Macaca fascicularis: one gene and its partners. The protein of the gene in region 1 interacts with the protein of each later gene in a biochemical or structural test. Links are inferred from orthologs where the notes say so. Each region holds a gene or a part of one and is shown in the gene's direction. Other genes may lie near its edges.

What was found.
Region 2: the proteins of ATM (region 1) and MDC1 form a complex in vitro, tested with the Homo sapiens proteins (2 studies listed by BioGRID, with this or other methods). The link is inferred for Macaca fascicularis from reciprocal best matches to the Homo sapiens genes ATM and MDC1.
Region 3: of the proteins of ATM (region 1) and ATR, one has a biochemical effect on the other in vitro, tested with the Homo sapiens proteins (2 studies listed by BioGRID, with this or other methods). The link is inferred for Macaca fascicularis from reciprocal best matches to the Homo sapiens genes ATM and ATR.
Region 4: the proteins of ATM (region 1) and RPA1 form a complex in vitro, tested with the Homo sapiens proteins (3 studies listed by BioGRID, with this or other methods). The link is inferred for Macaca fascicularis from reciprocal best matches to the Homo sapiens genes ATM and RPA1.
Region 5: of the proteins of ATM (region 1) and CREB1, one has a biochemical effect on the other in vitro, tested with the Homo sapiens proteins (2 studies listed by BioGRID). The link is inferred for Macaca fascicularis from reciprocal best matches to the Homo sapiens genes ATM and CREB1.
Region 6: of the proteins of ATM (region 1) and CHEK1, one has a biochemical effect on the other in vitro, tested with the Homo sapiens proteins (2 studies listed by BioGRID, with this or other methods). The link is inferred for Macaca fascicularis from reciprocal best matches to the Homo sapiens genes ATM and CHEK1.
Region 7: of the proteins of ATM (region 1) and EIF4EBP1, one has a biochemical effect on the other in vitro, tested with the Homo sapiens proteins (2 studies listed by BioGRID, with this or other methods). The link is inferred for Macaca fascicularis from reciprocal best matches to the Homo sapiens genes ATM and EIF4EBP1.

What each region holds. Positions count from the first base shown.
Region 1 is NC_088388.1:107,240,836-107,244,846, forward strand, and holds part of ATM (serine-protein kinase ATM), read left to right. Parts: intron 1-1,593; 5' UTR 1,594-1,619; coding exon 1,620-1,691; intron 1,692-1,770; coding exon 1,771-1,883; intron 1,884-3,136; coding exon 3,137-3,282; intron 3,283-4,011.
Region 2 is NC_088378.1:141,947,618-141,951,628, forward strand, and holds part of MDC1 (mediator of DNA damage checkpoint protein 1), read left to right. Parts: intron 1-838; coding exon 839-1,630; intron 1,631-1,741; coding exon 1,742-1,812; intron 1,813-3,097; coding exon 3,098-4,011. UniProt on the Homo sapiens protein: Histone reader protein required for checkpoint-mediated cell cycle arrest in response to DNA damage within both the S phase and G2/M phases of the cell cycle.
Region 3 is NC_088376.1:45,385,236-45,389,894, reverse strand, and holds the start of ATR (serine/threonine-protein kinase ATR), read left to right. Parts: upstream 1-1,624; 5' UTR 1,625-1,713; coding exon 1,714-1,772; intron 1,773-2,962; exon of another isoform or gene 2,963-3,166; intron 3,167-4,640; exon of another isoform or gene 4,641-4,659. UniProt on the Homo sapiens protein: Serine/threonine protein kinase which activates checkpoint signaling upon genotoxic stresses such as ionizing radiation (IR), ultraviolet light (UV), or DNA replication stalling, thereby acting as a DNA damage sensor.
Region 4 is NC_088390.1:1,984,724-1,988,734, forward strand, and holds part of RPA1 (replication protein A 70 kDa DNA-binding subunit), read left to right. Parts: intron 1-1,487; coding exon 1,488-1,620; intron 1,621-3,016; coding exon 3,017-3,119; intron 3,120-4,011. UniProt on the Homo sapiens protein: As part of the heterotrimeric replication protein A complex (RPA/RP-A), binds and stabilizes single-stranded DNA intermediates that form during DNA replication or upon DNA stress.
Region 5 is NC_088386.1:103,524,930-103,528,940, forward strand, and holds part of CREB1 (cyclic AMP-responsive element-binding protein 1), read left to right. Parts: coding exon of another isoform or gene 1-10; exon of another isoform or gene 11-16; coding exon of another isoform or gene 17-56; intron 57-858; coding exon 859-1,009; intron 1,010-4,011.
Region 6 is NC_088388.1:124,180,358-124,184,798, forward strand, and holds the start of CHEK1 (serine/threonine-protein kinase Chk1), read left to right. Parts: upstream 1-1,186; 5' UTR 1,187-1,472; coding exon 1,473-1,490; intron 1,491-1,600; coding exon 1,601-1,683; intron 1,684-2,440; coding exon 2,441-2,664; intron 2,665-4,038; coding exon 4,039-4,103; intron 4,104-4,197; coding exon 4,198-4,267; intron 4,268-4,441. UniProt on the Homo sapiens protein: Serine/threonine-protein kinase which is required for checkpoint-mediated cell cycle arrest and activation of DNA repair in response to the presence of DNA damage or unreplicated DNA.
Region 7 is NC_088382.1:41,420,616-41,425,141, forward strand, and holds the start of EIF4EBP1 (eukaryotic translation initiation factor 4E-binding protein 1), read left to right. Parts: upstream 1-1,489; 5' UTR 1,490-1,551; coding exon 1,552-1,696; intron 1,697-4,526. UniProt on the Homo sapiens protein: Repressor of translation initiation that regulates EIF4E activity by preventing its assembly into the eIF4F complex: hypophosphorylated form competes with EIF4G1/EIF4G3 and strongly binds to EIF4E, leading to repress translation.

The sequences.
Region 1 (4,011 bases):
TTTTTACATCTTGAGTTGTAAGTATGTGTAGGTATAATATACATAAATATATGTATTTTTTCTGTTTACAGACATTCATAGTCTAATAAAAAAACTTCTTTGTATCATATAAAGGTTTAGATCAGAACTAGTAAAACAGAATGCTGTTTCTTTTTTCTTTTCTATTTTAGGTTCTGGGGGTAGATGTGCGGGTTTGTTACATGGGTAAATTGCATGTTTTTGAGGCTTGGTGTACGAATGATTCTGTCACTCAGGTAGTGAGCATAGTACCTGATAAGTAGCGCTTCAAGCCATACCTCTCTCTCTTTCTGTCCCTCAAACAGTCCCCAGTGTCAGTTTTTCCCATCTTTGTGTCCATGTTGAAATACTGTTCTTATTAGATTATTTTGAAGGACATCAAAAGAGAGTTTGATTATATCAGAAGCCCCCAAAAGAAGAGAGCTACTACAGTGGAATCAAGACATAGTAAAATATAGTTGATCCTTGACATTTGCAAAGGATACCACCATAGCATAGAATTTCCTTTTAAAACAGAAATATTTTACTCCTATCGTTATGTGTTAAATAAGAGCCTTAATTACCAGTCGAGATGGAAGTGGTAGGCAAAGCTTACTAGCTCTGATAGCCTCCTACTTATCAGTTCCAAAGCATGTTTTAAGCCTTTGGCTCAGCAAAATGACACATCTCTCCAGATGAGCAAGAGTGCTTTTTTCTTTTTTTTTTTCTTTGAGACGTAGTCTTGCTCTGTCACCAGGCTGGAGTGCAGTAGTGCGATCTCTGCTCACTGCAACCTCCGCCTCCCGGGTACAAGTGATTATTCTGCCTCAGCCTCCTGAGTAGCTGGGACTACAAGCATGCACCACCATGCCCAGCCAAGAGTGCTTTTAAATAATTCATTGTCAATGTTAAATTCTTGAGTACTCATTTCCTTATTTGCCTGGCTGTTTTCTATTTATCTTTCATGTCTGAATTTAAATGTCATGTTTCTTTGGTCTCAGAGTAATAAAAAGTAAATATACTTCCCCCGTCTCCCACCCCAATGGAGTCTTCCTCTGTCGCCCAGGCTGGAGTACTGTGGCTCGATCTTTGCTCACTGAAAGCTCTGCCTCCAGGGTTCGAGCGATTCTCCTGCCTCAGCCTCCTGAGTAGCTGGGATAACAGGCGCGTGACAACAAGCCCGGCTAATTTTTGTATTTTTAGTAGAGACAGGGTTTCAACATGTTGGCCAGGCTGGTTGAACTCCTGACCTTGTGATCCTCCCACCTTGGCCTTCCAAAGTGCTGAGATTACAGGCGTGAGCCACCGCACCCAGTGTAAATTATACTTTTATTTCAATCCTGCTACCACTGCAAGCAAGGCAAACATTTTTGTGTTATAGCATTGCTTGTATAGATTTTAAGAAAATCTCATTTTAAATATGGAAATGTTAAGAAAAATTATTGTGTCTTTGATGAGAATATGCTTCTAATTGTATGGTTAAATCTATAAATATTGCAGTATAAAATAATTATATATACACATTTTTTCACACCTCTCTCTGTATATACGCATATATATACATATACATATATATACCTATATTTTTTTTTGCAGTGATGTGTATTCTGAAATTGTGAACCATGAGTCTAGCACTTAATGATCTGCTTATTTGCTGCCGTCAACTAGAACATGAGAGAGCTACAGAACGAAAGGTAGTAAATTACTTAAATTCAATTTTTCCTTGAAATAAGTGTGATTAGTAACCCATTATTATTTCCTTTTTATTTTCAGAAAGAAGTTGAGAAATTTAAGCGCCTGATTCGAGATCCTGAAACAATTATACATCTAGATCGGCATTCAGATTCCAAACAAGGAAAATATTTGAATTGGGATGCTGTTTTTAGGTATTCTATTCAAATTTATTTTACTGTCTTCATTTTTCTCTTTCATATTTATTTCTGTTGTGATATTATTTTTGTGTGTCTTAACATTTGTCTTTGTTTCCTATATATTATTATGCCTTGCATATGAATTTGGCATTTAATATTTATCCAAAACATAATTTTTAAAGCTTGTTCATATAGAAACTTAAAAATTATAAATTATTTCTTAAATAAAATGTTTTAGACATATCTCACTCAAAATTGATAGAGAATTTCTCTCATTTTAATTAGTTCACAAGACTTCAGATTAGAGAAAAAAATTATAATGTTTGGATATTACTTTCACACCTTTAAATATTGCTCTGATTATAAGTAAATGCCACGTGTTAAATTGTAATAAAACAAGTAAAAGGAAGATTGTATATGAATTTGGTTAAAAACAAAGAAAACCTCAAACAATGAAAAAACACAACAATCAGTTAAACCAACAGGGTTGATGCATTTTTACATTGAGACATCATTTTCAATCATGAAATCCATTTATAACTAGAAACAGATTGTAAGAATTAGGAAAGATGAATAAAGTATTTTAAATACTGAGAGTATTAAATAAACTAGAAATAACATTTGTTGTCACGAGGGAGTATGTATTTAGTTGTCCTTCAGTGTTTACAACAGATTCTGTTTTATTTTTAGCTCCTATTTGGTATTAGATTGTTGCAGATTTGAATGCATATAAAATGAAACATACATGCCCTTTTTCCTCTGGCTTTCTAGTTTATTTTAAATACAACAAATATAACCTGAAGATGAATACTATTTTGTATAAGCTGATCTGGTAGGTCAAATATGTACCTGGCACTCCTGGCTAGTTATGAATATCTTCTAGGCAGGCATCATTTAATGGCTAGCAACATTACCAACTGCCTAAGAAAGAAGTAGATCCAGTACAGAATAACAGAAGGAGTTGAGAGAGGATTGAGAGGGTCCTTACTAGCACTGTGAGCTTTTAATGATAAATTTAGAAAGCAGGCAGTAAAGCAGTAGTAAGTCATAGAAGATTAAGGGCTTTGCAAACCAGACATTAAATTGGTCTTACAGGCGTTAGGCCTTGAAAGAGAGATTTAATTGTTTTATTTGTTTTATTCAGCTGGTATAGTAATCTAAGCAAGGTAGTTTAAAAGTTGCTCTTTTTGATGGCATGAACAGCTTTCGAAATTATTATAATTTAAGGATTCAACGAGTTTCTGAAATTGTATTTTGTTTTCTTGAAGATTTTTACAGAAATATATTCAGAAAGAAACAGAATGTCTGAGAATAGCAAAACCAAATGTATCAGCCTCAACACAAGCTTCCAGGCAGAAAAAGATGCAGGAAATCAGTAGTTTGGTCAAATACTTCATCAAATGTGCAAACAGAAGTAAGTGATGTTATAAATTATAAATAAATGGCTTAACAGATTACTGTTGCATGAGTTTTTTTTTTTTTCAGATCATTTTAAGGACTTAACTGTTGCATAAGTTTGTTCTAAATATAATAAGATTAAAAATTGAGTGCAAATACATATAATGATTTTTATTTTTATTAAAAGGTTTTTTTGGCCGGGCACGGTGGCTCAAGCCTGTAATCCCAGCACTTTGGGAGGCCGAGACGGGCGGATCACGAGGTCAGGGGATCGAGACCATCCTGGCTAACACGGTGAAACCCCGTCTCTACTAAAAAATACAAAAAACTAGCCGGGTGCGGTGGCGGGCGCCTGTAGTCCCAACTACTCAGGAGGCTGAGGCAGGAGAATGGCGTGAACCCGGGAGGTGGAGCTTGCAGTGAGCTGAGATCCGGCCATTGCACTCCAGCCTGGGCGGCAGAGCAAGACTCCGTCTCAAAAAAAAAAAAAAAAAAAAAAAAGGTTGTTTTTTGTTTTTTTTTTTAAGGCTAGTCAAGTGAAGCAGTGGGAGTGGAGAAGTAACAAAGCAATCTGTAACTGGTTGTGATCAATTAGTTGTAAAGACCACTGCACTTAGGCCAGCCTGATTTTTAATATTACTGGTTCAAATATTTGGGGAAATTTATTCAAGCAAAGAATGACAGAAATCTGAGGATTGAAGGGATTTATTTATTTAAGAGATAGGGCGTTGCTCTGTTACCCAGG
Region 2 (4,011 bases), on another chromosome or scaffold:
GCATTGGCACATGCTATAGTCCCAGCTACTCAGGAGGCTGAGGTGAGAGGATCTCCTGAGCCCAGCAGTTGGAAGTTGCAGTGAGCCAACATCATGCCACTGCACTCCAGCCTGGGTGACAGAGTGAGACTGTGTCTCAAAAAGAAAAAGAGAGAGACTATTCAGGGAACTCTCTTATTAGGCTATGATGTTTTTATTTTTTTATTTTTTTGAGACAGGGTCTCTGTCACTCAGGCTGGAGTGCAGTGGTATGAGGAGAGACTATTCAGGGAACTCATATTAGGCTATGATGTTTTTCTTTTTGTTGTTGGGTTTTTTTTTCTTTTTTTTTTTTTTTTGAGACAGGGTCTCTGTCACTCAGGCTGAAGTGCAGTGGTATGATCGCAGCTCACTACAGTCTTGACTTCTGGGGTTCAAATAGTTCTTCTACCTCAACCTCCTGGGTAGCTGAGACTACAGGACTACAGGTCCCTGCCCCCACACCTGGCTAATTTTTTTGTATTTTTTGTAGAGATGGGGTTTTGCCATGTTGTTCAGGCTAGTCTCAAACTCCTGACCTCAAGCAATCCTCATGTCTTGGCCTCCCAAAGTGCTGGGATTACATGTCTGAGCCACCATGCCCGCCCAAGGCTATGACCTTTTTGAGACAAACGTTAAATGTTGTAACTACCACCCTTATTCCCAGCTTTCCTTTAATAACCTGTTGAGATTTATTATTTATGAGTTTATCTAAATCTTTTCTCATCATATTTATTATGTCAACCTGTACTTCCCTTTCCCTCCTCCTCTCCTTTTCTCTCTCTCTCTCCCTCTCTTTCTCTTCCTTCCTCCCTTCCAGGTACCCTAGATGAACCATGGGAGGTCCTGGCTACACAGCCATTCTGTCTGAGAGAGTCTGAGGACTCTGAGACCCAGCCTTTTGACACCCACCTTGAGGCCTATGGACCTTGCCTGTCTCCACCTAGGGCAATACCAGGAGACCAACATCCAGAGAGCCCAGTTCACACAGAGCCAATGGGGATTCAAGGCAGAGGGAGGCAGACTGTGGATAAAGGCATGGGTATACCAAAAGAAACAGCAGAGAGGGTGGGCCCTGAGAGAGGGCCACTGGAGAGAGAAACTGAGAAACTGCTACCGGAAAGACAGACAGATGTGACGGGAGAGGAAGAATTAGCCAGAGGGATACAGGACAGAGAACAAAAACAGTTGTTAGCTAGAGACACCCAGAGACAAGAATCTGACAAAAATGGGGAAAGTGCAAGTCCTGAAAGAGATAGGGAGAGTTTGAAGGTAGAAATTGAGACATCCAAGGAAATACAAGAGAAACAAGTACAGAAGCAGACCCTTCCAAGCAAAGCATTTGAGAGAGAAGTAGAGAGACCAGTAGCAGACAGAGAGTGTGAGCCAGCTGAGTTAGAAGAGAAGGTGCCCAAAGTGATCCTGGAGAGAGACGCACAGAGAGGGGAGCCAAAGGGAGGGAGCCAGGACCAGAAAGGGCAGGCCTCCAGCCCAACACCAGAGCCTGGGGTGGGGGCGGGGGACCTTCCGGGACCTACCTCAGCCCCCGTACCTTCTGGGAGCCAGTCAGGTGGAAGGGGATCCCCAGTGAGCCCCAGGAGGCATCAGAAAGGTAAGTGAAGGCAGAGGGGAACTCAAGGTGATACACAGGCCTCATAATAATCAACCCCTGGGCAACCAGCTGCCTGCAACTCAGCCACCTTTGTGTTTATTTTCTGTCTAGGCCTCCTGAATTGCAAGATGCCACCCACTGAGAAGGCTTCCAGGATCGGAGCTGCTGAGAAGGCTTCCAGGGTGAGAGCTGCTTTTTCTACCTCCTACTCCACAAGTCATCTCTATATCCTCTCCAACGCTCCTTCACCTAGCCTCACTTTAATCTATTCCTTTCTCATTATTCAGTTTTCTTCCATTTTTATCACTCCTTGATTGGCTTCTATTCCTTTATCCTCGGCACCCATTGTTTTCCATATCTGTTTCCCAAGTTGTATCTCCTACCTGACTCCGAAGAAAGATCCTTCGTGTTTCTTCTTTCTTTGCCCCAGCCATCCTTTTCATTACCATCATCCATGTGTGGAGAACACTATAGTAGCATTATGGAGACAGGTCCATGGGGAAAAGTAGCTTCCCAGGTATATCCCAGTCTAATGGAGGAGAGATCATAGACAGAAAGGGAAATCCAGTGAGCATATTTTTTTTTTTTTTTGAGAAAGAGTTTCGCTCTTTTTACCCAGGCTGGAGTGCAGTGGCGCGATCTCGGCTCACCGCAACCTCCACCTCCCGGGTTCAAGCGATTCTCCTGCCTCAGCCTCCCGAGTAGCTGGGATTACAGGCATGCGCCACCACCCCTGCTAATTTTGTATTTTTAGTAGAGACGGGGTTTCTCCATGTTGGTCAGGCTGGTCTTGAACTCCCAACCTTAGGTGATCCACCTGCCTCGGCTTCCCAAAGTGCTGGGATTACAAGCGTGAGCCACCGCGCCCAGCCCAGTGAGCATATTTTTTGTTTTGTTTTTGTTCTTTTTTGAGACAGAGTCTCTCTCTGTCACCCTGGCTGGAGTGTGCAGTGGCGTGATCTTGGCTCACTACAACCTCCATCTCCCGGGTTCAAGTGATTCTCCTGCTGCAGCCTCCCAAGTGGCTGGGACTACATGTGCGTGTCACCACGCCCAGCTAATTTTTATGTGTTTTTTTGAGACAGAGGCTCACTCTGTCACCCAGGCTGGAGTGCAGTGGCGCGATCTTGGCTCACTGCAACCTCTGCCTCCCAGGTTCAAGCGATTCTCCTGCCTCAGCCTCCCAAGTAGCTGGGACTACAGGTACCTGCCAACACACCCGGCTAATTTTTTTTGTATTTTTAGTAGAGACGGGGTTTCACTGTGTTGGCCAGGCTGGTCTTGAACTCCTGACCTCGTGATCCACCCACCTTGGCCTCCCAAGGTGCTGGGATTATAGCCGTGAGCCACTACGCCTGGGCGAAATCCAGTAATCCTATCTAACCATAAACAAGTATCAAGAACAGTATCCAAGTTCTATCTCTTTTCTCCACCTCCTCCCCCTCACTTGCTTCTGTTTCTCCCTAGGGCGATCAGGAATCTCCAGATGCTTGTCTGCCTCCTACAGTGCCTGAAGCCTCAGCCCCACCCCAAAAGCCCCTTAACTCTCAGAACCAGAAACATCTTGCACCTCAGCCCCTTCTTTCTCCCCTTTCACCTTCTATCGAGCCAACCATTCGTAAGACCGGGCAGGATAGGAGTCAGGAAGCTCCAGAGACTCCCTTGTCCTCAGAGCTGGAGCCTTTCCACCCAAAGCCTAAAATCATAACTCGGAAGTCCTCCAGGATGACACCCTTTCCAGCTACCTCTGCTGCCCCTGAGCCCCACCCTTCCACCTCCACAGCCCAGCCAGTCACCCCCAAGCCCACATCTCAGGCCACTAGGAGCAGGACAAATAGGTCCTCTGTCAAGACCCCTGAACCAGTTGTCCCCACAGTCCCTGAGCTCCAGCCTTCCACCTCCACAGACCAGCCTGTCACCTCTGAGCCCACATCTCAGGCTACTAGGGGAAGAAAAAATAGATCCTCTGTCAAGACCCCTGAAGCAGTTGTGCCCACAGCCCTTGAGCTCCACCCTTCCAACTCCACAGATCAACCTGTTACCCCCAAGCCCACATCTCAGGCCACTAGGAGCAGGACAAATAGGTCCTCTGTCAAGACCCCTGAAGCAGTTGTGCCCACAGCCCTTGAGCTCCACCCTTCCAACTCCACAGATCAACCTGTCACCCCCAAGCCCACATCTGAGGCCATTAGGAGCAGGACAAATAGGTCCTCTGTCAAGACCCCTGAACCAGTTGTCCCCACAGTCCCTGAGCTCCAGCCTTCCACCTCCACAGACCAGCCTGTCGCCTCTGAGCCCACATCTCAGGCTACTAGGGGAAGAAAAAATAGATCCTCTGTCAAGACCCCTGAAGCAGTTGTGCCCACAGCCCTTGAGCTCCA
Region 3 (4,659 bases), on another chromosome or scaffold:
GTAGACATTATTAATCCCATTTTACAGATGAAAAAATGGAAGTACTAAGAGATTACGTAACTTTACTGAGGACATACAGTTTCTAGCAGATGGAATGAGAACTTGTGTAGGGACTGTAACTCCCAATCCCATGTCCTTTCTACTAAAACATTCAGTGATTCATTCAACAAATGTTTACTGAATACCACCTATGTGCCAGGCACTGTTTTAGGTCCTGGGTATCTGATAGTTAACGAAATAGACAAGACCTTGCTCTCCAGGAGCTTACATTGTAACTGAAGAGAAACAATAACATAGTATGTCCGGGTGTGGTGGTTCTCACCTCTAATCCTAGTACTTTGGGAGGCCGAGGCCGAGGTGGGAGGATCGCATGAGGCCAAGAGTTTGAGACCAGCCTGGGCAACATAGCAAGACCTTGTCTCTACAAAAAATAATTAGCCAGGCGTTGTGGCATGTTTGTAGTCCCAGCTACTCAGGAAGCTGAGGCAGGAGGATCAATTGAGCCCAGGCTGAAGTGAGAGAATCGCTTGAGCCTGGGAGGTTTAGGCTGCAGTAAGCTATGATTGCAACATTCATTGCATTAGAACCTGGACAACAGAGTAAGACAATGTTTCTAACAAAAAAAAAAGAGAGCGAGAGAGAGTGTGTATATATGTTAGTCTATATGAAGCTCTTTGGTGTTATTTTGGCAAACACATGAAGGAAAAGGGGCAATGACAGAATGGCGTTCAAGGCAGAGTACAGCAAATGGAAAGTTCTTGAGGCAAGAGCATATTTGGCTGTCATTACATCACTTTTTTAAAAGATCCTGTATCAGTTAACTATCCTCATGTACCAAAGAACAAATGTAAACATACTGCATGACTTTGAGTGATTAACTACCTAACTTCGACATGTCAACAATCTCTTATAGTGATCATCTTTCCAATAAATTGAGCTAGAAAATGTGTATTGCCAAAACCCATTGCTTTACTTTAAAAATTAAATCACAGGTTGTGGATGCCCGTAATGGTGGCATTTCCACACATAGTACTGCTGCTGATTTGATGAGACAAAAATATAAACCAACCCCATTTTTAAATATTAAAGGTTGGTAGGGTCCTCAAGGAAACCTAAGAGTGACTTCAAGTTGAAAAAGAATGCTTAGAAGGAAAAAAACAGGGAGAGCCCACCTTTTGGCCTGTATCTCTCAGAAAGAGGGACAAGAGCGGTGGGAAACTGAGGAACTTTTAAAATGTGAGAGCGTTACTCTGGGGAAACCTGGAGTCTACTCTTGGCCTTTACTCGCTGTCATCGTTCTCACATTTGTGAAGCGAGAGTCTGGGCTGGCGGCCCTCAAGCCCTATTCTCCCCCGATCCGGGGATGTTGCTTCGCTGTGCCTCCCAGGCTTGAGAACAGTAGAGTCTGGCCGCTCAAAACGAAAGCTTCACGAACATTGCTCGCTGGGTGCTGAGAACGAAGGCTGACGCTACCCGGGAAATTCGACCGACGCGCGCCAGCCCGCTTGCCCCGCCCGCTAACGGCTTCCCGGCTTCCCCCGGGTCCTAAGCAGAAAATACGCAGGGCCTGGCAAACGGGGCCAGTAGCGGCTTCCGGGAGGAGTTTTGGCTTCCGCAAGGCTCCGTCGGGCGCCGCGCTCTTCCGGCAGCGGTAGCTTTGGAGACACCGGGAACCCGAGTCGGCGTGGTTGAAGAGTGCCGCGCAGCCCCAGCATGGGGGAACATGGTGTGGAGCTGGCTTCCATGATCCCCGCCTTGCGGGAGCTCGGCAGGTAGGGGTAGGCCCAGCCTGGGTCCTGCATCCTCCTCCTCCTCCGGTCCCGGCTGGGGTTTCACATGCTTTCCCCTCCCCTGCCGCGCCATGGCTGGCATCCCCTAAGTCCGCGCTGCGGCCCTTGTGGAGATGCTCCGTGGCTGATTTGGGCGCTTCTCCCTCAGAGTGCCAGTTGATAGGACATGGGGCGGTCGCCACAAACCTGCGGGAAGCCGGTCCGTAGGGGAGAGAGGCGTCTGCTGGCCCTGGTTTACCGCAGCAGCCCGTGGGTGTTAGCCCCGACCCGAGAATTAGCCCCGACCCGAGAGTTTGCTTCCTGCAGCTGGAGGGAAGAGTGCCTGATAATCGCTTTCTGGTCACTTTTCTACACTCATTTCCTTCTCGAAAATCTTTTTCCTTAGACGAGGGACTTGACCCATCAGGTTCTGTTCTTCGTGATCACTCGTGGAGGAATTGGTTTTTAGCCTTACATTTTGTCCCCAAATTGTCCTTGGAAGAAAATCACCGCTTCTTATTTTCTGCAAGTGACATCACTTGCTGGAACAGGCAATTTTTTTCTTTGAATTGAAGTCACAGTACGTACTGAAGATGTGACCTCCTTCGTATTGATCGTCCAGTTCCCGATCCGTTGTTTTAGTCAGAAATTGGAGAGATAGACCTCAGGGTCCACAAAATCTCAGCGTGCACAGAGTGTTGCCAAAATTTGGAGACGATTTAATATTTGGTTTGCAAATGCTTGTTGTCTGTAAACCTCGTGAAAACCAGTATCTTACCAAAAGAAGGAGGGAGAGGGGTTGATGGCTGCCACACCCCATCAATACACAGGCAGGCTTCCCTGAACCAGGCCTAAAGACTCGGTAGGGCTTGTTTTGTTTTGTTTAATTCTAACCTGTGAACAAGAAATAAATGAGCTCGTGGTGCTACTGCAGTTAAATTATCAGTTGGAACAACTGCTTCCCAGTTTCTTAAACTGTTTGAAAACTTCCCACACAAAGTCAAAGCTGACATTAAGCCAATGGGATAGCTACTTCTCTTTCTTTTTGCAGCGCAGTTGTGTTCATTTCCACTGGTTGGCCATCCAAATAATCTAGTTTCAATATATGAATAAGAGGATAAATGAAGGGATCATTCTTGTCCTAACTGCGTCACTATTTTTGAGTGTATGAATTTTTTCCACTTTTTATCTGCGGCAAATATACTTCGTGTCTAGTTTACAAATTAACTTCTACATCTCTAAAAGAAGATGAAGAAAAGTGATCATTGTAGGAAGGTGGTTTACAAATTTCATCTTTCAGGCTCACTGTGAAGCTCAGTATGTTTTTCCCACTTTGCTTTAAAGTAGAATTAGCTGGTTAATACTTCTCTTCCCTCTTGCGTCTTCCTCCGTGGGTCCTGTTAATAAAAATAATTGGTTCTTGGATTATATATAGTCTGTTCATCAGTAGAGCTTATGTTACCTTTCATTTATTTGTAGCTATGCCAAGAGAAAGAATAGAAAAACTGACCCATAGAGAGTTGTCTAATAGTTTTTAATTGTCATGGCTTTTTCATTAAAACTACTTGAATCAAAAAAGCTGATCCATTTTCATAGTATGTCCATGACATAGAATGGAATAAGTGTTACCACTGTTTAAGAAAAAGGGTCAGAGAAGTTGAAGAACCAAAGGCACAGCTAGCAGATACCAGAGCTAGGTTTCAGATTCAAGCTCTCAAGGCCTTTTCTTCCAAAACGTTTTCCTTTAATTGACTGTGGCAATTAGACTACTGAAAAAAAATGAGATACTAGTGTTCTAATTTATGGACTGCTCTTCCTCAGTCCCTCAGATAAATTTTGTCCTATTGTTTTTTTGCTGTTAGCACTCTGCTCTGCATAGTCTTGCCAAATGACCTTTCCACTTTCCTGCCTTCAACCATAATCTGCTATTTGATGACTCCTAATATGTTTTTCCAAATCATGTCTCCTATAGAATTGTATATTTACTGTATACTGGCAGTTTCACTGAGTGTCCTATGTGTAGTTAAGTCAGCATATCCAATACAAATTCTCCACATGTCCTAACCTTCATAAGCTTTCTTTTTTTAAATTAAAAAAAAATTTTTTTTCTCTTATTCATTGAAGTAGAGCTATCTCAGTAAATGGCACCATATTCACTTATTTCTCCAAAACAGAAATCTAGAAGTCATTCTTGACTGTTCTCCCATGTGCTTTTAGACTATGTCCTTGGCCCTCTTTTAATCTGTGCTCTCTTCCCAAGTAATCTTACCTAATCTCATTACTTTAAATGTCATCCATATGCTGATAACTCACAAATTTATATTTCTAGATCAGAGATATATATTAGGTTGCTTACTCAACATCCACACTGGGAAGTGAAAATTAACATATGCAAAGCAGAACGCCTGATTTACTGCCCTTGAATTTGTTCCTTCTCCCATGTTACTGTAAATATACCAACCAAAAGCCTAGGAGTCATCCTTGGTTTTTTCCCCTTGTCCCTTAATAATCCTTAAGTTAGTTCTGACAACTATATGTTTAAGATACATCTAGAATCTAACACTTTTCACTGTCTCCACTGCTACCACCAGAATTTTTTACCTAAAGTATTACAGTAAACTTAGTTGATCTCTCCATTTCTACTTTTACCTACTTAAAATAGATTTTCCACTCAGTGAAGTGATTTTTCATCTATTAGTCGTATTGTAAGTTTCTCCTACACAAAACCATCCTTTGACTTTCCAGCACACTTAAAATCACTATAAAATCCAAACCCCTTACCAGGCCTCTAAGGTCCTACATAATCTGTCTCAGCCTGCCTCTGACCTCATCACCTTCTGTCCCTCTTTTGCTTACTTTAGTGATACTGACCTTGTTTCTCCAGGACATC
Region 4 (4,011 bases), on another chromosome or scaffold:
TCTTTGCCTTATATTAAAATACATTTAAAAAAATCTGGGCTGGGCACAGTGGCTTACACCTGTAATCCCAGCACTTTGGGAGGCCAGAGCAGGGAGGATTGCTTAGCCCAGGAGTTTGATACCAGCCTGGACAACATAGTAAGATCCTATCTCTATAAAAATTTTTTTAAAAGAATCAGTCGGGCATGGTGGTGCACGCCTATAGCCCCAGTCACTCGAGAAGCTGAAGTGGAAGGATTGTTTGAGCTCAGGAATTTGAGGCTGCAGCGAGCTAAGATCATGCCACTGCACTCCAGCCTGGGGGACAGAGCAAGACCTTGTCTCAAAAAAATGAAAATCAGTTAATGTTCCCTAAACTATGTAGTGAAAGAAAATGAACTGGATATGTACGGAGGAGAAGCTACCCAGCATGAAATAAATTGGATGAATGGATGCTTGTGTGTGTTTTATGAAATTATAAATTACGTATGGGTATACACATGTATTCTACAAAGGACATGCGTTTCCGTACACAGTCTTGAGGTAATTACTGTTGTGTGTGTATTGATCTCTCTTGACTCCCCCGTTAGAACAGAAAATTTTAACCCTGGAACACTCCTATGTATATTTTTTACTAATTACTACGAGTGCCTAGAAGGGTGTGGTACATGCTGTGGAAACTCCGTAAATAAATACTGGATAGATGGTGTATTGATCCTTTTAGCCAAATTCTATTCTGAAAAAATGTTTTGATATAGAGGGTATGAAATCACTGAACTAAATTATATTTTCTGAATTTGGAGGTTGAGTTTTGCAGACACGTGGTGCGTCTAAAAGAACGCATCTGATCCCTGTGGCTTCCCGGTGCCGGGCAGCTGCTCAGGTTTGGATTAAGGAGGCGGAAGGGTCTTAGTGGTCACCCACTTATGTGTCTTGACCAGAACTGATTCCTGCCCTTTACTCAACTCATTCTTACGGACTTCACTCTAGACTATTTAGTCCTCTAGACGCGTGGAGATCTGGGAGTTGTCTGGGGATTCGGAGGCCATCGATTTGTGATACGTCCTTTACGTCCTGTCTTTCCTCTTGCTTTTTTTCTTACGTAACTCGTGCCTTGCCGTCAGTTTTACCAGTTACGACAGTTGATTTCCTTTTTCTGACCCGTTATCTTGCCCATTGAGGCAAGAGAAGTGTGTAAGAGGGTGGCCTTCAGAAAGAACAGTGTCTGGATTCATTACCATTATTGCCTTGACCTCGGGGCTGACGTCAGCAAACGTAACAGTGAGCGTCTGTGTGCGCAGCCTTCGTTCTAGATTGCTTTCCTAGCCTCCAGCCTCAGTCTCTGTTTGATCTGCGTATCTCTTGCATGCTACAAAGGAAAAGCTTTGCCTCTCGTGTTATAGGATTTCACTAGCGGCACCTCAAACATTTAGAGTTATTGTAAAGCTTACTATAAAAAAGCTAAGTAGAATAATAATGCTCCTTTCTGTTTGCGTTTGTTTTTTAAGGTTCCACTGTTTCTAAGGCTTATGGTGCTTCAAAGACATTTGGAAAAGCTGGAGGTCCCAGCCTGTCAAACACTTCTGGGGGAACACAGTCCAAAGTGGTGCCCATTGCCAGCCTCACTCCTTACCAGTCCAAGTGAGTTATGCATAGAATAAGTTCAGAGTGTGATTACAGAATCGTAGAAGCTGTTATGGACCCTTGAGTTATTTATGCGCAAACTTCAGGGTTACCACCAAATAAAATGGGTTTACTCTTTTTTTTTTTCTGAGGAGGAAAGGGGTACAGATTGTGGCAACCTTTAACTCTTGTTGGAAAATATAGCAATAGCAATCTGCCATAGCCTGTGAGGTTTCATTCATTTTGAAAGAATTTGAAATTAAAAATATTTAATGCTTAATCAGTTGGTAGTCTTATGAGTAAAAATAAATATTTCTGATAATTCAAAAGGCGTTTACTCTTCTCCTATAAATAGGTGACTTCGTCTTTGGTTTAGTTGGCTAGATAATCTGCAGAATTTGTATTAACCACATTAACATACCCTGAGCCTATATTTCATTTATATGACTTTTTCCACTAAAAATTAATTTGAGGCTGGGCGCGGTGGCTCATGCCTGTCATCCCGGCACTTTAGGAGGCTGAGGTGGGCGGATCACCTGAGGTCGGGAGTTCGAGACCAGCCTGGCTGACATGGTGAAACCCTGTGTCTACTAAAAATACAAACATTAGCCAGGTGTGGTGGCGGACTCCTGTAATCCCAGCTACTCAGGAGGCTGAGGCAGGAGAATCACTTGAACGCGGGAGGCAGAGGTTGCAGTGAGCTGAAATCGTGCCACTGCACTCCTGCCTGAGTGACAGAGTGAAATTCTGTCTCACAAAACAAATACACAAAATAAAGTAATTTGAATAGTTAAAAATTAGAGTTCCTTTTTCAGAATCCTTCCAGATATGTTTACATTTATTCTTCAATACTCTGTAATGTAGGAAGATATTTTTCCCTGTGAAATTATAAGTAAGGTACCTAATGTGCCCTGTGCCTCCTTTTTCCGTGCCTCTCTGCAAGGTCATGCTGCCTCGGCGTGTTCTCCCTGATGGTCCACCGACATCGTGGATTTCTATTCAGGGTACATTAGGAGTGAGACAGAAGTTTGACACCAGTTATATCAGTTCCCATAATTGAAAACCATGGCAAAATATAATTGCTGGTGTTACTGTATTTTCCAGCTTAGAACCTTTCATTAAGGGGATATTGTTGCCTTGGTGATGCTTTTTGGAGAAGGGAGAGAGTTTATAAATTTACTTATTTGACAGGAGAATGAGTTAGTATTAAATCACCTTGCATGTTTTACTATTTGCTTATTCTGTAAACTGTCAAACCAATGTGTCATCTTGGGGTTTTAATTAGCTGGATTAAAATACAGGTTGGAAAATGAAATATGTGTTTGAAGACGAGAAAGGCTGTAGGAAGATGATTTCTTACTTGATCTTTTCTAAGGAAGACTCCAAACACTAATATAATCGATTTGGTTTGTAGGTGGACTATTTGTGCTCGTGTTACCAACAAAAGTCAGATCCGTACCTGGAGCAACTCCCGAGGGGAAGGGAAGCTTTTCTCTCTAGAACTGGTTGATGAAAGTGTGAGTATTTGTCACGTGGGGAAGTAAGTAGTAGACTCACTGAGAAACAAAAAGCTCAGCTCTGCGGGCCTATGAGGTGAAAAATAATAGTAGGCCAGAGACAAGCATGATTGTTATTGTGCTTTTCCCTCTGTCTTTTGATGCTGTCTGGAGTAGAGGGTTAAGGTCATAAATAAAATCTTTGATCTCAAGTACAGTGTTTGTAGCAGTAGAAAGTAGTTTTCTAAATGTGTAAGTAGCCCCATGGGCAGGAGGGACTGGAGACCATCTGATTTGCTGGCAGGTGCAGTCAGAGCACGGGAGGTGATGCCTGCTTGTGAGCACAGTGCAGCTTTGGGCCACCGCAGAAGGCACACAGTTGTGCCCTTGGTACAGAAATGGTTTTGTGGGAAATGGGCTCTGACTGTGCACATTCTTTATTTGCTTTATTTAAACTAAACCAAACCATGACAATGAGACAAAATTCCTATCCCATGGAAGCATGACAGTCTTGATAGCTGTTCATCTGTTAGTTTTATTAATAATTCCTGAAATTGCCGGGCATGGTGGCTCACGCCTGTAATTCCAGCACTTTGGGAGGCCAAGGTGGGCAGATCACTTGAGGTCAGGAGTTTGAGACCAGCCTGGCTAACATAGTGAAACCCCGTTTATACTAAAAATACAAAAATTAGCCAGGTGTGGTGGCAGGTGCCTGTAGTCCTAGCTACTTGGGAGGCTGAGGCAGGAGAATCGCTTGAACCCAGGAGGCAGAGGTTGCAGCCAGCCAAGATTGCACCACTGCACTCTAGCCTGGGCGATAGAGCAAGACTCCATCTAAATAATAATAATAATAATAATAGTAATAATAATAATTCCTAAAATGTACTTCAGCCTTCTTTTCAAACTGCTGCAG
Region 5 (4,011 bases), on another chromosome or scaffold:
AAAATTGTAAAGCAGGATGTCAGTGAATTTGAATTCTGAACGTCAGTTTGAAGATGGTAACATGTTTAGTATATAAATCTTTTCCACTCAAAGCATACTTTTTAATTGATATTAATAATTAATATTAATAATTTAATAAAGACCTTCAAATTTTTTAAGTAACATTAGGTTCCTTAGGAGAGCATATTATTACACTGTTTTTAGAAGCAGTTTGACAAATAGTGATTGTGTTTGTTTTTACAAATGGTGAATCAGAAAAATAAAACTTCAGTTTATTTAGTCATTATCATTTACATTAAAACAATATGTTTTCAAATAATATAATTGGCATCAGGTGATACACTTTTTCATACTTTCAGTTTTGTTTTAATTCAAAATCTATAATAGTTGACCATAATGCTTTATCTTCTTTTTCATTTTGCTATTTTATGAAAAATCATGGTCGTTTTTATGTCGTGGCAAGAGTCTACTTGAAATTTTTTAATATGAATTTACCAATATCAAAGGAAGACATTGAGGACTATACTCTATCTAGGAAGATCATCCAAGCTGTGCCCCACTTACCTTTTAGACTTAAGGTTGGTAAGCATGTTAACAACAGAATAGAACTGCATTCAAATGAAAAATAAAATACAAGATCCAGCAGACATAGGTTACTGTAATAAATACATTACATTGGGAATTATTTCTTAGTAGTGGCGCAAAGAGTGCTGATTCTTTCAACACTTTAGCCAGAATCATCTTTTCTTTTTTGTTTCCCTTTTAGTCCAGAATACATGCTTAGATTGATGATTGATACACATAATTGAATCAAGTTGCAGTGTTTCTGTCTTACACCATAATCACTGTTTCTTTCAGCTGCCTCTGGAGATGTACAGACATACCAGATTCGCACAGCACCCACTAGCACTATTGCCCCTGGAGTTGTTATGGCATCCTCCCCAGCACTTCCTACACAGCCTGCTGAAGAAGCAGCACGAAAGAGAGAGGTTCGTCTAATGAAGAACAGGTACATATACTGCATTTACTTAGATTGTTGTGGGTTAAGTGTGTCTTCACTTTCTACTGGATGTGTATCTTTACATCTACTGGTAATAGGATCTTTGCATTGGGTTTTTTTTTTTCCAGCAGAATTAATGGATCTTGCTAAACTTTATTTAATGAGCTGCATTTATAAGATAGCTATAGGATTATGGGTCAATCTTTGATCATGGAGTAGTTTTCTTTCATGCAGTTTCCCCACAGGAGATTTAATGCACAACCTTCCTATGTTTGCACTCCAACCAGCTTGCCAGGTTATTTCAAAATGGTTTCTTTTCATATATAGTATTGTTCAAGAAGATCAAGAGTTTCACATATGTATATTAACTGTGTGTTAAATTTTATCTATATTAAATTTACTTGATACAAAGTAAATGTATGGTGGCCAGTTCATGTTTTAATGAATAATATCTTTACTCAAAATAATAACATTTTAACACCTAAAGAGTCTTCAAAAATATATTCTAAGAATACCACATTATGGAAAAAAATCTTAAAATACAGTCTTCAAAAACTACTACCTTCAAAATCTACGAAATGTTGGTAAAGCAGTTCTCAGAAAGTAACTTCATTGCTATAAATGATTTTGCCATCAAAAACAATAAAAACAAGTTACTAAATATTAGTTTAGAACTTTCATATAGAAGTGACCGAGACAAACAGAAGAAAATGAAAATAGGGTATGTAAAGTTTTAAAAAGTTTGAAATTGATGAAAGTATTTCACTGTTCATCCCAGGATACTTCAAACACTGATAAAGTGAAAGAAGCAGGGCTTCCAAGTCCTAGCCCTGTCCCTCCATTTTGGGAGACAGTATTAACTTTCTATACCTCAGGTTTGCAAAATGGGATTCCAGCACACACCCAAGTATTGTTTTAAGAGTCAAGTAAGATAATTCCTTTGAAAGCACTTTGTAACTGTAGTGCTCTGTTGAAATGGGTGTGTGTGTGTGTGTCTGTGTGTGTGCAATTTCACTTACAGCTCAGATCAGCTTTTTTGTTCCTAAAATATTCTTAGCTGTCACAATGTTAGTAAATTATATCTGAACTCAGAGAAAAATCTGTCTGGCAGAGATTTTTCTCTGATATTAGAAAAAGAGTTACAACAAGCCAAGTGACTGTTTTGTTTTTTTTTTCCTCCTGAGACAATCTTGCTCTGTCGCCCAGGCTGGAGTACAGTGGCACAATCTCAGCTCACTACAACCTCTGCCTCCTGGGTTCGAGCAGTTCTCCTACCTCAGCCTCCCGAATAGCTAGGATTACAGGCGCCCACCACCACGCCTGGCTAATTTTTGTATTAGTAGAGACATGATTTCACTATTTTGGCCAGGCTGCTCTTGAACTCTTGACCTCATGAATCCACCCTTCTCAGCCTTCCAAAGTGCTGGGATTACAGGCATAAGCCATGGTGCCCAGCCCTCAAGTGACTTTTATTTGTGTTCCATCCGTCTGTGATTTTGAGTATTTAGGTTTTACTAAACAGAAGCATAAAGGCTGCATTCATAATTTAAATATATTTTAAAATATAAATTAAAATCTGTAAATAAAAATTAAAATCTTTTCAGTTTTTAAAAATGTTTATAAGGAAACTCTTTTTTGTTGTTGTTGTTTTGAGACGGAGTCTCGCTCTGTCACCCAGGCTGGAGTACAGTGGCCAGATCTCAGCTCGCTGCAAGCTCCGCCTCCCGGGTTTACGCCATTCCACTGCCTCAGCCTCCCGAGTAGCTGGGACTACAGGCGCCCGCCACCGCGCCCGGCTAATTTTTTGTATTTTTGGTAGAGACGGGGTTTCACCGTGTTAGCCCGGATGGTCTCGATCTGCTGACCTCGTGATCCGCCCGTCTCGGCCTCCCAAAGTGCTGAGATTACAGGCTTGAGCCACCGTGCCCGGCCGGTTATAAGGAAACTCTTAACTTAAAATTAGAAGCAAGTCTGATTAAGAAGTCTCAAGCAAAGGCTGAGTAGTAATATTTAAGACAACACTGCTTACTAAAGAAAACAGTTCTAAGCAAACATAGGAGCAAAATCAGAAAATAAATCCTTTTGATTATAAAACACAACAGAAGGACTTCTGTTTATGTCTATGTAGTTTGGCTCTGTGGAACAAAATGTTTCCCCCCGTTGGCCGGGTGCAGTGGCTCACGCCTGTAATCCCAGCACTTTGGGAGGCCGAAGCGGGCGGATCACAAGATCAGGAGATCGAGACCATCCTAGCTAACATGGTGAAACCCCATCTCTACTAAATACAAAAAAATTAGCCGGGCGTGGTGGCAGGCGCCTGTAGTCCCAGCTACTCTGGAGGCTGAGGCAGGAGAATGGCGTGAACCCAGGAGGCAGAGCTTGCAGTGAGCCGAGATCGCGCGCCTGCACTCCAGCCTGGGCGACAGAGCAAGACTCCATCTCAAAAAAAAAAAAAATGTTTCACTGCGTTGACTGGCAGACCAAATTTCCTTTTTCTTCTATTTATTTTTCTTTCAGATTTAGGACCACTGCCACCAACAAGTTAGGAACAGGCCACACGTAACTACAGTTGCTACCAGCCTTTGCTTGCCTGAGACTTACCATGGACTCTTTCATAACATTACTTCGCTTAGATGTAGTTACCCTACTCTTGAAAAAGGAAACTTCCTATTGATTCTGCTATAGTTCTTTTCCCCTTTCCTTACCAGATTACTGCTGCTTCTACTTTTTCAGCCTCCATTCACTGGAATCTGGCTTCTGTGACTAGCATACCCCTCATATGTCTATAAAAAGGTACAAATTCCCTCCCACTTGGCAAATCTAGTATTTTCTTTCATTTAATTTTAACTCTATGGAGTATGACACTTTCGACTTCTCATTACTCTAAACTCTTCCTTGGCTGGCTTCACCTGGTTTTCTGACTACTTTTCAAATTTTTCCTTTGAACCTTCATCCGTATCCATGTATTTCAGGCATTACTTTATATGCTGATACCTCCTAATTCTATATAT
Region 6 (4,441 bases), about 17 Mb from region 1:
TTGTAAAATTTATTTTGGCTCTCCCCGCCTGTTTTTTGCACATTAAAAATGAAAACTTTTGTAGAACTAAGGTAAGCAGATGGTCTTCCTGCAAAAAGATTGGGCTGAACTAAAGCATTGCTTTGGAGCTGGTTCACAGAAAAAAGGCAAAACTGGTTATCCCGACTTCAAGCTCCAAAATAAACTGCTTTCTTTCTCCGGGAAGTTTCCCCCGCCACACACACTTGACTGCGTGGCCAGTCCTTTCGATGCCTCTCGCTCCCAACACCGAGTTCCTCTCATTTCTTCACAGTCAGCTCTCAGCTGCTGCTGCTAGTTTCTCGGCTCCAGCACCACGGGTACAGCACTCTGAAGTTCACAAAGCACTCTGCAGCACTGACTGTGATCCTCACAGTCCTGTCCGGTGGCCTCCCGCAGGTGGTAGTGCAGCTTTTCAGGCCCAGAGTGGCCAGGAGCTAAGCCCGCAGACCCGCCTGGAAGCGCAGCGCGGACAGTCGCGCGACCCCGCGGCATGGAGGCCTGGGCTTCACCCAGAGGCGCTCGAGCACCGCCCAGCCGAGCCTCACGCCGGATGCCACTTCATATTTGGGCCCAGAGCTCAATTCGCACCGATGCGGTCCGCCGTCCTTAAACCTATTCAGCCAGAATCTCTCCCCGACTGTAAAGCAACTGGGCGGGAGCGGCAACCTCTCGGCGTCAGTCTTTTGGAGCCGCCGACATTCAGAGAGGCAAGACCCGGGAACGCGCGCTGTCTTGCTTTACGGCACGGGTGCGCGAGTTTGCGGCAGCGTGACGCCAGCAAGTTTTGGCGGGAAAAGCGCTGCATTTGGATTCCTGCAGTGGTGGGCAAAGGACAGTCCGGTGAGCAGGGGCGGCCGGTAGAGTAGGAAAGGCTTCTAAAGAAGGAGTTCGGGGTCTAGATTAGCGAGGGAGGGCACGGTGGGAGAAAGTTAGCATTGACTAGCGCAGGGGATTGGAGAGACTCCTGCGGAGGGGCGGTTTCGGAGGGTGGAGGAATGGTAGCAGGAGATTCCCGTTGTAGAGAGGGGGCAGGAGGGACTAACACACTGCTAGCTAAGAACCCCAAGGAAGGGTCCCAGCCCTTCCTTCCGCCTCTCGGGGCAGTTTGGCCCCGCCCCGGCCTCTGGGACGGGTGGGGGTGTGGATGGGGATGGGAATTGGAACTGAGCAATTGGGAGGAGGCGCTGCCGCAGGCGTCTTCTGCCCGGTTCCGCTCCCTCTATCCCCTTTCTTTCTTCCCCAGACCCCCACCTGTCCCTCCTCCTTCCCCAGTCGTTCACCGGAAAGCATTTGTCTCTCACCTCTTCACCACAACGATTAATTTCCTCTGAGGCCTGAGGAGGGCAGAATTTCAACCTTCGGTGTGCGTGGGAATGGCGATTGTGATTTACACGACAAAATGGCCAAGTTTAGAATAGTTCTTCGTGGTTGAAAGACTTGGATAAATGTAGATGAGATATAAGGGGAAGGCAAGAGCTGTTATTTTTCGTGGGGAATCCTGGGGAGAGGCGGGTCGCAGTGGCTTCACAGGTGATCTTACACTCACTTTCCATCTTTTCTGGATTCCTGCCTTTTACAGCCGAGCTCCGGTGGAGTCATGGCAGTGCCCTTTGTGGAAGACTGGGACTTGGTGCAAACCCTGGGAGAAGGTGCCTATGGAGAGTGAGTTCTTTTAACCTTGCCTTTGTCTTCTGAGTGCATATTCATTGTTTTGGAGTCTCATACTCTGGTGATTTAGAGAGTAGATGTTTGAGATCCAAGATTTTTGGCAACTGAAGTTACACAGTCTTTTTGCTAGGATTAATATTTTTTCCTTCCCTTAAAAAAAAAAAGTTTTCTTTGTAAAGAGCTGGAAGGGACACGAAGTTACTGTTTTCGTGCCCACACATTGCTTCTCAGAGTTTAAGCATCGTGATTAATGAGCAGACTCTGGAGATTGCCTGGTTTCAGATCCTTGCTCTGTCACATACTGGTCATTGTTTTGTGATCTTAGGCAAGCTTCCTAATGTCATTGTGTACCTCTCCTTCACCACCTTCAGGGTGGCAATAATAGTATCTACCCCATAGGAGCTTAGGACAGTTACACAAGCACATATAATATGGGATTAATGCTCTTAAAAGTATGTGAGTAGAACATGTATATATGTGATGTGGCTTAGAATTACCTCAGTCTATTTTATGAAGCGTTTATTAAATGACTTGTGTGACAGCATAATGACGTGTTTGGAGGGTTAGCTATTGTATTTCACATTTTAGAAAGGAGTAGTGTCTGTTGAGAACATAGCAGAAACCACTTCCTTGGTTTCTCCTTTGTGGAAAAAGTAATAAAGGTAAAATAGTTTTGGATGCGTCATGTTTAATCTTTGGAAGTTTTAGAAGAAATGGAATTCTATAATGTTAAAACTTTTTTCCTTTTTAGAGTTCAACTTGCTGTGAATAGAGTAACTGAAGAAGCAGTCGCAGTGAAGATTGTAGATATGAAGCGTGCCGTAGACTGTCCAGAAAATATTAAGAAAGAGATCTGTATCAATAAAATGCTAAATCATGAAAATGTAGTAAAATTCTATGGTCACAGGAGAGAAGGCAATATCCAATATTTATTTCTGGAGTACTGTAGTGGAGGAGAGCTTTTTGACAGAATAGGTATGGAAGAAATTTAAGATAATTATTTTAAACAAATTTTTAAATTTGTTTTTTAAATCTTGGGCATGCTATTTGGTCGTTGTCCTTTCAAAATTGCTCATGCAACAGTGAAATTGGAATAAATTATCTTTAAAAAATTTTTCCTACTGGTATTAATACATAAAAGCATATATAGAGTCAATGAAAGAAAACTTCTTTCCCAAGTTATATAAGTGATTTTGGTTTAAGATTGGTGTCTTACAGAATTTAAGAGTGACAAAATGTAGTTTTATGATACATCATAAATGCAGTGTATCCTAAATGCAATGTATTGCCTACACAATTTTTTCTTTGTAGACATTCTAGTTATATGAAATCATTGTATACATTTACAGATCTAAAATAGCATGCTGTTTCCTCTTGGTTCACATGAAATAATTGAGAATTTTCTAGGATTGCTTTTTGTATATTAAGTAAATTCTGTGTTTGCTATTAATACTTAAACATTCTATGTAGAATCAAAGGACCGATATTTCAGAACACTGAGAAGTACATAAAATAAATCTGGATGTAAATTTATAATTTAAAGCTATTGTATTAACAGTTAAAAACTGATAAAGAGGTACTAGGATCTCCAGTGTGACTCAGGAGAGAGTTGAGGGTAAAAGAAATGGAGTTAATGAGAGAGATCAAAATATAAAAAGATAACTGATAAAAGAATTTTCATAATGAAACTGTGTTTCATGAAGGACCTCACAGGCATTCGTGGTTTTGTACTGTGAGACTATATGAAGTTTAAATCTGAGCTAGGTGTGGTGGTACATGCCTGTAATCCTAGCTACTCAGGAGGCAGGAGAATTGCTTGAGCTCAAGAGTTCCAGGTTACAGTGAGTTATGATCTCACGCCAGGGTACTCCAGCCTGGGTGAAAGAGCAAGACCCTATCTCTAAAAAAAAGTTAAATAATGAAAGAAGTATAATCTCTAAAATATTTAGTGAAATTGGCTTAGATTTGCCCAGACTTCCCCTTTGGCATTGTATTTCAGGAATGAGAAAAATAATTAGCATAGCATTTAGAAGAAATAGGGGAGAATTTGAAGGTTACTGAATCAGGGTTAGTATAAGAGGAAGCAGGGGCTTTCAAGGCATGGCTTACATTCTTGATTTGGATATGGGTTTTTCTCTTTATAATTTTTCTGTAATACTACTTTTGCCATCTAACAGAGGTAAATGTGAGTTAAGCCCTCTATGTGTTAGTGGACTCCTGATTCTTTTGTTGGCATTTGCTTCTCTTTGCCTAAGTACATTTGTAAATGTCTAGGCTTCAAATTAAGAAGCTATGTGGTTGCTACCTGATTATATTTAGTCAATAAACTTACTTTCATACTTGTTTTAGAGCCAGACATAGGCATGCCTGAACAAGATGCTCAGAGGTTCTTCCATCAACTCATGGCAGGAGTGGTAGGTATAGTTGTCCATGTCCCTTTTATTTAAAATTAGTATGAATACATTACATTACCAAATTCTAGTGTGTTTCCCTCTGCATCCCTCTTAGGTTTATCTGCATGGTATTGGAATAACTCACAGGGATATTAAACCAGAAAATCTTCTGTTGGATGAAAGGGGTAAGTTTAGCATTTTATCACTGGTACCTAAGTTATTTTAACATAGCCATACAAGGCAAAATCAAGTCTTTTGCATTACTGGAATTTCCAGACAAAATCTGAAAAATCAAGGAAATTTTGGAGACTTAGTATATTTGGAAATCACAAGTCTCATTATGCAATACAATTGCGGAT
Region 7 (4,526 bases), on another chromosome or scaffold:
TCCACTGGCTACTAGTTATCTTTCAAAAAAAACAACTCAAATCATGTCATCCCCCTGCTTAAAAGATCTCTGGGCTGGACGCGGTGACTCACGCCTGTAATCCCAGCACTTTGGGAGGCCGAGGCGGGTGGATCACGAGGTTAGGAGATCGACACCAACACCATCCTGGCTAACACGGTGAAATCCCATCTCTACTAAAAATACAAAAAATTAGCTGGGCGCAGTGGCGGGCGCCTGTAGTCCCAGCTACTCGGGAGGCTGAGGCAGGAGAATGGCGTGAACCCGGGAGGCAGAGCTTGCAGTGAGCCAAGATCGCGCCACTGCACTCCAGCCTTAAAAAAAAAAAAAAAAAAAAAAAATCTCTGATCTCTCCTGCCCTTCTAAGACAAAGTCCAAGCACTTTGGCATGATTTGAAAAACTCAATGACCTGACCCCAATTTCCTTTTTAAAAAATTATTATATATTTTTTAGAGATAGGGTCTCTGTCACTAAGGGTGGAGTGCAGTGGTGTGATCACACTCACTGGAGCCTCAAACTCCTGAGCTCAAGCATCCTCCAGCTCAGCTTCCTGAGTAGTGGGGATTACAGGTGCACCACCCAATTTCCCTTTTAAACTTTCTTCACCCTCTTCCCCACAACATGTGCCCACAATGCTAAGAACTTCTCAAACCCAACAAGCTTTTCCATCCTCGGTCCTTCTTGCATTTTTCTCTCTCCCCTTGAACATCCCTCCATCCACCATCCAAGGAGTACCTACTAAATCTCAGGCAGTGGGGTGGGCGTTGGACCCAATTCAGGAGTTATCGGGAAACCTCTTTGACAAACTCTTACCCCTCTCCTACGCCCTTCCCTCTCCCCCTACCCCCGCGCCCTAGCTCTAAATTTAACTCCCAGGACGCCGCTGGTTGGTTCACTCCTCCTCCCACACCCTGTCTAAAGGCCGGGAACAGAATTGTTAGCCCCACCATCCCCACCCCCATCAAGGTCAAGAAATTGAGGCGGGGGAGGGGGTGAGCATGACCACTCAATCCCCACTTTCTCATCTGAGGAACTAAGGCACGAAACAGGGAGTGCCGGAGGGTACACCGGGCCTGATGTACTAAGGCAGAAACCGGGCCTTCCTGCAGTGGGCCGGGTCAGCTCGGATCTCCGCGCGGTCCTGAGTCGCCGCCCCCAACCCAGCCAAGGATTAATTTAGGCGAGCTATCCCGCCCACCACCCCCACCCCCATCCCTGCCAACGTGGCGGGGAGGGACACAGGACAGAGGGGCAGTCGCTGCGGGGCGGCGCCGGCGCCCGTGCGGAAGAGCCCGTGAGCAGGCGTGAGTGGGTCGGGGGGCTGCGGGGGATCCCACGTGGAAGCAACGTCCTGGAGCTGGGTGGGGCTGCGGCGCGGACTACAAATCCCAGGGGCGTGGGCGGGAGAGGCGGAAGGGGCGTCCTGGGGCGGGGCGGGACGGGGCGAGGCTGAGCGGGACCCGGCTAGGCGGAGCGAGGCTGGAGGCGCGGGAGGGCAGCGAGAGGTTCGCTGGTGCAGCGCACAGGAGACCATGTCCGGGGGCAGCAGCTGCAGCCAAACCCCAAGTCGGGCCATCCCCGCCACTCGCCGGGTGGTGCTCGGCGACGGCGTGCAGCTCCCGCCCGGGGACTACAGCACGACCCCCGGCGGCACACTCTTCAGCACCACCCCGGGAGGTAGGCGCGGGCTTGGGGACGCAGCTGGCCGGCTCCTGGGCGGGCGGGAGGATCGGGAATCGCGGATTGGACCGGGTGTCCAGGCTCAAGGGCGCTGTGACTGGAAAGAACGGAGAAGGGGCATCGGGGAGATAGCAAGGGTCATGGAAGTGGCCGCCCGTCTGCCCTCTTGAGTGCGTCGTCCAGACCCAGGTTGCAAACTGCCCCGTTCGTTTCCTCTTTCTGTTAGGTGTCAGACAGCTGACACCTAACAAACACGCACTCTTCCAGGACTGCCACATGCCGAGCTGTGCTGCCCCTTGTGGGTGTTGGGGGCGCTCCCGAGGCAGGATAGGGCGGAGTCAGGGTGGCCCACGATCCAGGAGAGGCCTGGCCTGGTGTTTTTATGGGATGGGTATTATCTGTTGGGATAAATGATTCCTGCAGGGCCCTTTTTCCTTTCCGAAGCACCCCTAGTTTTGCGTTGGACACGCGCGCTCTGACGGAGGTTTGGATGTGGGGGTGCTCTCCTGCTCCAGCAGAGCCTCCCGGGCACCTGTGGCACGTTCCCCATTTTCGCGAGTGGGATCTCCGCGGGGGGGCCGGGCGCCACGGGCAGGGCTGTGCAGAAAAACACGTTCTTCTGTCCGGGGAGAGGAGGAGGCACCGTGTGACCTCCCTGGGAGAGGATGAGGAAGAGGAAGCTGAGCTGGCACGGGTGCGGGGGTGGGGGGGCAGCCTCAGGCTGCCCTCAGGAGCCTGGCATTCCCTCCCAGCCCCGCAACCCCAGCGCACAGACGCTGATGAAACCTACGCGCCTGTTTGCATGATGAAACAAATCCTCGTGGCTCTCCACTCCCCTCCCATCCTCGTACTGCCCCCACCCCTTTGACTTCTCTCCCTTCAATCTCCTCCACGCTGCTTTCCAAACTACTCGAAAACGCGACAGATCCTGGCGCTTCACTCGGTGGCGGGCAGGGGCCACATGCTTATTTTCTCAGGCAGCTGTCCTACCAGCAGCATGCACGGCCGGATCCGAGGTCCTCAGCTATTTGATCCAAAACATACACTGTTAGAACGGTTAGGGATCTTGTCCAGCCCTGCCGCCTTATTCTACAGAGCCGGGCATTGAGGCCCCAGAGCTTGAACACGTGTCTATTGCCCATTGTCACACCGTTTTCCCAGATTGGACAAGAAATAGCAACCAGGCAGAGAAGGGAGGAATGCTTCGTTTTCTATTAGAAATGAGCCAAGGAAAAGCTCGCAGGGGCTCTTATTGCCACTCCCGACTCATCCTCTTTCCCTTGCTGGGTCTTTTGTAGTTCATGCTGTTCTCCTTTGTCCCTGTCACAATGGTCTACCAGGACAATTCCTGACAATTTTGGACTTCTTTCAACTGAGGGTGTAAGTGTCTGCTGGATTTGTTCAGGGTGGGCCCTGAGGCTGGCCTGAAGGCACAGGTAGCCCTTTTTTGCGCCTTTTATTGCTGGATTGTTGGGTCAAATTGGAAGCCACAGATACTGTTTATAGGCACTTCTGGCACGGGTACCAAGGTTCACACCTGTAATCTCAGCATTTTGGGGAGTCGAGGCAGGAGAATTGCTTGAGGCCAGGAGTTCAAGACCAGCCTGGGCAACATAGTGAGACTCCATCTCTACAAAAAAAAAAAAAAAAGATGTCCTAGCTATTACAGAGGCTGCGGCCAGAGGGTCGCTTGAGCCCAGGAGTTGGAGGCTGTAGTGAGCTATGATTGACCACTGCATTCCAGCCTGGGTGACAGAGCGAGACCCTGTCTCTAAAATAAATAATAAACATAAAATATATGAACTTTGAATCCACTTTTCACTTTGGGTTGGGAAGTGGGGAGTAGGCAGGGGGCTGACAGACCACAGCAAATCCCCCTCCTTTTGAAGGTCTTTTTTTTTTTTTTTTTTTTTTTTTTTTTTTTTTTTTTTTTTGAGACGGAGTCTCGCTCTGTCACCCAGGCTGGAGTGCAGTGGCCGGATCTCAGCTCACTGCAAGCTCCGCCTCCCGGGTTCACGCCATTCTCCTGCCTCAGCCTCCCGAGTAGCTGGGACTACAGGCGCCTGCCACCTCGCCCGGCTAAGTTTTTGTATTTTTAGTAGAGACGGGGTTTCACTGTGTTACCCAGGATGGTCTCGATCTCCTGACCTCGTGATCCGCCCGTCTCGGCCTCCCAAAGTGCTGGGATTACAGGCTTGAGCCACCGCGCCCGGCCGAAGGTCTTTAACAGTAGGGGGAGTGGGGAAGGGGCTTCTGCATCAGGGCATAGCATGTTTCTGAGATCACTGGAAGAAGCTAGCAGTGCCAGGAGCCTAAAGCCAGCTCACTCTTTGGGTCATCCAGGTACAGCTCACAGTCCCTAAGCCAGGGAAACCCGGCTTACTTCCACTAAAGTCAAGCAAGCCTGGTCGGCCTCGATTAGCCAAGGTGTGAACTCTTCCTCCAAAGCCCACCTCAGCCCACCTCTGCTAGGGCAGAGAAGCTGAAATGGTCACATCGCAGGACCCTTTTGCTCCAGAGCAGAATACTGCGTCTCAACCTTCCAGGTGCTTGAGGATAACTGGGGGCTTCATTTAAGTGCATATTCTGATTCTGTAGGTGGGGGTGGGGACTAGATTCAGCATTTCTTTCTTTTTTCTTTCTTTCTTTTTTTTTTTTTTTTTTTGAGAAGGGTCTCACTCTGTCACCTGGGCTGGAGTGCAATGGCATGATCTCAGCTCACAGCAACCTCCACCTCCCGGGGTCAAGCGATCCTCCCACCTCAGCCTCCCCAATAGCTGGGACAACAGGCACACGCCACTCATGCCCAGCTAATTTTTGTATTTTT